Tribolium castaneum: one gene and its partner. The protein of the gene in region 2 binds, or shares a complex with, the protein of the main gene of each other region. Links are inferred from orthologs where the notes say so. Each region holds a gene or a part of one and is shown on either strand. Other genes may lie near its edges. The genes, in order: Archease; RNA transcription, translation and transport factor protein.

Region 1 (2,859 bases), on a different chromosome or scaffold from region 2:
CTGAGCTCGGATGAAGAATCGGAAGCTAAGGAAACTAGAAGGAGAGTTACTAACCTTAGGAGGACTTTAGATGAAGGGTTTGGTCGATATCGGGCAGCTGAGGAAAAATGCAGACAACTCGAAATTGAAAATATTCAATTAAAGGAGCGAATTTTTGAATTGGAAAATGAGCTAGAGGCGTTCAGACAACATCACGCGTCGGTGATCAGTGAAGAAATTGAAGGTTCCGAAACGTATGGTGAAAATGGTGTGGCTTTTAACTTATGGGATGATTAAGTAATCGTTGTTTTGTTATTATTTGTTTTTAATTTGTTTTGCCGTTTTAATTTTTACCATGAGATAAATACAATATTTTTTCAGTAAAAGTTAATTTTGATTTAACACCCTTTTCCTTGAAAAATTTTCATATTTTATTGAATCACTACTAAGGCCCTCAATTTTTATAAGTTGGAAAGGCATTTACATAACAATATTTCAATAAAAATAGCGAATTGAGACTGAATTGTTGTATGCGTAAAGTGAGTCTGCTATTTGTTATTTATTTAACTGGACGCAAACTAATAGATGGAAGACATAATTAATTAATTAGTTATCAAAAAGGTGAGAAATAAAATGCGAGTGTTTTAGTAAAAAATTGATTTTGCTAAATATCGATAATAACAAACACTTCAAACTTCTTGTTTTCCGGGTCATTAATTATTTGCATTGCGGAATATGTGATGGCTTTGACCTCTGTGCCTTGTGGATGTTTCCCTAACGTGAATTCTTCCCCATAACATTTACACTTAATTTTCAATTCATCACCTTCTGTTCTAAACTCTGTGATAACTAATTTACTGCAAATTAGAAATGGTTCACAACTAAACAAGAACAAAAGTTCATCCAAAAAATGGAAAAGTAAACCGTCCAAATCGTCTCCTGTTGCTTCAATTTCTGAACACTGTTTAATTTCCACTGTATTAATTTCAGTCATATAACCAAACATAGCAAGACCGCATTGCTCGTATGCTTCTTTTAAACTGTCTCCCCAAGCATGTAATCTAGAAATTGTTAATAAAATATTTTCGGATCTGAGATAAGTATGACTCACTGGACATCGGCAGTGTGATCCAAATCTACGAATCGACATGACATTAAAAAATTATAGATTTTTTTGATAACTTACATTCGTATTTACATGGTGGAAGTGTTAATTCTTCTTTTGTAAATGTTTCCATTTTTTAATTAAAAAAAAATGTGTTCACTTTTTGTGCCTAACCTCAAAAATTTTAGCTGTCAGTCATTTGATAAGTAAGATGTCCTAATCGTGAAGGTGGTAAATCCCGAAACAGCGAACATGCATTGGGTGTATTTTGGGTTGCCTGTATTAAGGTTATTTGAAAGAAAGTAGTCACTAATTTTTTTGCAGCATAATTAAATACTTACTTATTACAAAATCTCAAATATTATTTTTAATTTTAAAATTAAGAAGGTTTTGTTGATTAGATAAATCTGTTATTTTATTTTAACTCATTTATTAGGGTTTTGTTTTAAGAAATTCTTATCAATTAACAACAAGGTCAAGAACATTTATACATTTTTTCATTTACTGTAAATCATAATTAGTAATTGAGAAAATTTGAAAAAGTGATTTTGAAATCCAGTGACTTCTTTCTGAAGTATAGATATTAAAGAAAATTTGTATTGTTTTAACAAAGTTCTTTTATTTTATATTATCTTTTATTAACTGAATGTAATTGCCACATTATGTAAATATAAAATAGTAATATTTGTGTTTTTTTTGTAGGTTTTGCTCATGTATTACATAACTAAATATTTTTGCTGTTAAGGTATGAACTACCTATCTATTATATGCTATAAATTTAATTTTCGTTTTGGATTTTTTTTATTATTTTATGGTGAATTAACAAATACTTTTGCTAAAAATAGTTGATGATGAAGCAACTTACCTTTGCATTGTTTGTGATTCGTGAAAAACCGCCAACGCAAATGAAAACAAAACAGAAAAGAGGATCGATAAAAATTAAATAAACAGTAACCGAGGGAAAGATAATGTAAATAAAATGAAACCGAAATTATTATGAAAGAAAAATTCTCCCGAAATGCTCTTTATTGTCAACTGTACTATCAACAACATTAAACAGTACTAGTTTGAATTTTTTATTTCATCGTTTTTCAATATTATAATACTTTTCACTAATAAAAAAACTTTCAACCTTAACTCAATAATCTTGGGACTTATAGATTAGTTTTTATATTAAATTCCTGCAACTTTAGCTTAATCTCTATACAATCATCATACAACGTTTCCACAAAAATACCTCGATGGAAGAATAAACTTGACTTGCAATTAAAATAGAGAATCTTCCAATAATCCGACCGCAAATATCTGACTCTCGTCATTACCGACCGATGATGCAATTTGGTGTTTACAACAGTGATTTTCGTTATTTTGTCGAACAAAAGAACTATTTTATAAATAATTAGGTACATTCAAGTTTATTTACAGATGAAATGGCTTCATATAAAATCTGGTCATCCCAGTTGTTATCATTAAGTCTTACTTAGACTACTTATAGATATACCTATATACACTAATAACAACACTTGTTATTTGTTAGAAAAATGCTTATTCAGTCATTTACAATATTTCAGTTAATTTTCTTTGGGAATATGTGTCAAAAATGGGGCTTGTGTGTGAGGTCTGTCATCAGACGGTAAAAACAGTTATTTTAAATTCCATTCCTATCAACTATTTGTGCAGGTTGAGTGAAAAGAGCCACTAACATCTACGTTTTTAAATTCTATTTGTCTTAAATTTATAATGTATACGTTATGAAAGATCATTGCCTCTCTCTT
Region 2 (3,382 bases):
AGAATCACCCCGTGGCAAGGGTTGTAAAATACAGGTCTTGTGTTTCTGTGATTATTGCTTCCGCCCACATCCCAGAATTCAATAAAGTAGGTTTTCTGGTCCTTTGTCCCTTCCTTGTACTCGTGGAGCTTCACTTCCACTGAACACCCGACCGTCCAACTGGGGGACCTTATGGGCTCGTTGTGTGCGACAAGGTGGACGAAGGAGGTTTTGCCAACGCCGGAGTCGCCCAACACCATAATACGCACCCGGTCTATTGCCGTCATTATTTTTTATCACACAATTACACTTTACAACTGGGAAATATTTGAGGTTATCTGCGTTGTCAATGTCAACTTGACACACAACTGGTGTGCGTGACCGTAAATTTCCAGTCGCTTATTTCAAATAATGAAGGTAAATTTGTAAATTGGCACCGTCAAGTCAATTTACAAATTAAAAACAATGCAAATAATTGACTAAGAGTCACAACACATTGTTTTATGTTGTATTCATGACAAATTGTAATTTAATTGCAATTATAACGTAATTGGTCAACTGTAAAAGTGTAACTTAAGTTCCAATTTAAAGAGCCGGCTCCGGCTTTTTGACAAGTAATTTGTAGGTTATACATACATTTCAAATTATGGGGAACAAGCAAGAGGAGAGTTGTTTAGCTTGTAAAATCACGTCAATTTGTTGTTTAACTGCAATTGGTGGTTACCTCATCTACCATGGCAAACAACCAACACAAAAGTACAAATACTCGTTAACTTCTTTAGGACTAGGTAATTAACACAAAAAGTGCTTCACTAGACATTTATTAGTGTAATTGCAGGTTGTGTAGCGTTAGGAGTTGGAGAAATATTTGATAAATCGCCGTTTCGTGATTATAAGGAACAGAATCAATAAATATTAGAACTGAAATAAACACTTCATTTTCCGACTTTTCCCAGCTTTGTGTCAGTTTTAGGATTAGCTGTGATGTTTTGAACGGCCACAATTAGTTCATTGGCTTTCGTTTGCAAATCTCTTAGATCATGGATGTATAAAATTCTTAATACTTTTGCCGCTTGATTTAAAACAGGATCATTCAAATCAAACCCCAAGTCAGCTTCTTGAAAAGGAAAAGGTGTGCCCTTTAAAAACACATTTAGATTTTTGAGGCTTGATAACTACGCACAAATTACCTTTATTATGACTTCGCTTGGATTGGCTTGAGCTTGTGGCGACAGTCTTGTAGTTACAAGCTTTGCAACTGCTTTTAAGGTCACAAGCGGGTCAGGATGGGGCGTTATATTTAATAGTTGTGCCAATTTTGTAATACCTTCTGCAAATTCTTTACTGTGGACTGAAATTTACTAAAATTATTTACCGAAAAAATCGACTTGTTTACGTACAATCTAATTTATCAAGGGGATTTTCAGTGACAACAGTTGGAACATTAGTTGCCTTTAAGTTCTCAACTGCATGTTTAATGTATACTTCCCCTAAAACAAAAAATTATTTTCGTGTTTTGTGGCTACGACCAATATTACTATTATTATGAGTCTCGATTTGCACAGCATAACCTAAAAGCCACTGGAGTTGTTCTTGATGGCTCTGTAAATTGGGTACACCTAGAGCTTCCTTGTACTTTTGAAAATGGTTAGGCCAATCATTTGACGTTACGTTTTTAAGACCATTTGCCACGTTAGAATCAGCTTTATTAATTTTATTTAATTCCAACCATGCCACAATTTTTCTGAATGTTGCTTCGTCTAAAAATCAGTATTTGAAGTTAAATTAAAATTATCGAGACAACGTGATCACCGTTAACGTTCACATCACACTGTGGGTACTCTAATGCTGATAAGAGCCTTTTAACCATTTTTAATTATTCACGAGTGATAAAATAAATAAAACTTTACCGGTGCTGTCAGTGTCAAAATGTCAATGACCTTGTATGATTCCTGAGAAATCTGTATAAAAAGAAAAATTGTATGAAGGGTAATTAAAACTTAAGTTTTTTTTAATAAAAAAGTGGAAATAATACATAAGTGTTTATTAAAAATGCACATACAGTACAATTAATAAAAATTTCTAATAGCTCGTGCTCAGTCTTTTGTAAAATAAATATTCCTATACTTAAATGCCGCCAGGGCTAATAAAAACCTACATATTACTTTTTTTCTTAAAACTAAGTTATATCATAGGTAAGTGACATAATATACATACTATATTTTGTGTATAACACAACATATAACACCTATAAATAGTTAAATACAAAAATATGGTGGTAAACATTCTCTATCAATTGTCCCAAACAAAATCATTGAAATATTCTCTCAACTCAAACATATTTCGTAACTGATGGTGACAATACGCAAAAATAAAATCAACGGTCCGAAAGAATTTGTTAAATCATAAGTAACTTTCCAATAAATAAAAATAACAATCGGGATTTAATTTCTTTATCACAGGCAATTTGAGGCGACCAATAAAGACTGCAAAGTAATAACGGGTGTAAGACGTAGATAATTACAGAATCGTTGGTCTGATATTGATATAAGAAGAAAACGTAATACTTGGGTACAAATGTTTTCGTACCGAAATATTACTGCCCAAAATCCATCAGTTATAGGGTTAATATACTTGTTAAGTTTGGATATTGTTCAAACATTAAAATCACTAAAAGTCTACATGTTATACTTTCATTTAGAAATGCTGTTGACTATACATTTTGTAAATATTTCGTCTATAATATCCAATCAACGAAGTAAAAGAATTATCACTAAAATCGATATTAAATAAATATCACGCAACTTTCTGATAACAGTAACAAACAATGGCTAGTGTAGTAATCTCGGTGCTGAGATGCGCTGTCATGCTCTAGTTAAAGACTGTTCAACGTTTGAAATTGCATAGATAATCTGGAAGCAGCACAACCCCGCAGTAACAACACGTAACAAAAGTTTACACTAATAGCACCCAACATTATGCATAAATAAAATTAAAATAAGTCTAACAATAACTTAACTTTCAAATAAGAGTAACCGTGAGATATTGAGAGATTACATTTTGAATCGAATTTCCCCTTATGGCCCCAATACATATCAAATGCACTATCCAATAACTAGGTTGAAAAATGTCACAAAAACTTATTTGAGCACATTTACACAATTTCCAACAAGTAAGTACTTTTCATACAAAATCACTACTTAACAAAGTTTTTGAACATTTTTAACGCGATGGCTGAAGTCTCACTCAACAACTGCGCAAAAACAGAAACGATTAATTTGCATGAGTGAATTTTGCAAACAGAACTAGCTAAGTCAGTTTCCAAATATCAAATCAGTCGCTTGTTTTGGAACTCGAATCACATTTTAAAGCTCGATTGTCACGAATTTCACGTTAACGATTC

What was found.
Region 1: RNA transcription, translation and transport factor protein (region 2) and Archease share a complex: the UniProt entries of both Homo sapiens proteins name them as parts of the tRNA-splicing ligase complex. The link is inferred for Tribolium castaneum from reciprocal best matches to the Homo sapiens genes RTRAF and ZBTB8OS.

Annotation. Positions count from the first base shown.
Region 1 is NC_087398.1:7,382,970-7,385,828, forward strand, and holds Archease (protein archease-like), read right to left. Parts: upstream 1,325-2,859; 5' UTR 1,218-1,324; coding exon 1,166-1,217; intron 1,116-1,165; coding exon 1,091-1,115; intron 1,041-1,090; coding exon 644-1,040; 3' UTR 622-643; downstream 1-621. Other genes in the region: sub (kinesin-like protein subito), read left to right, coding at 1-276. UniProt on the Homo sapiens protein: Component of the tRNA-splicing ligase complex required to facilitate the enzymatic turnover of catalytic subunit RTCB. Together with DDX1, acts by facilitating the guanylylation of RTCB, a key intermediate step in tRNA ligation.
Region 2 is NC_087396.1:19,110,137-19,113,518, forward strand, and holds RNA transcription, translation and transport factor protein, read right to left. Parts: upstream 1,936-3,382; 5' UTR 1,850-1,935; coding exon 1,792-1,849; intron 1,740-1,791; coding exon 1,518-1,739; intron 1,470-1,517; coding exon 1,380-1,469; intron 1,331-1,379; coding exon 1,170-1,330; intron 1,119-1,169; coding exon 915-1,118; 3' UTR 785-914; downstream 1-784. Other genes in the region: rab-like protein 3, read right to left, coding at 1-266. UniProt on the Homo sapiens protein: RNA-binding protein involved in modulation of mRNA transcription by Polymerase II. Component of the tRNA-splicing ligase complex and is required for tRNA ligation.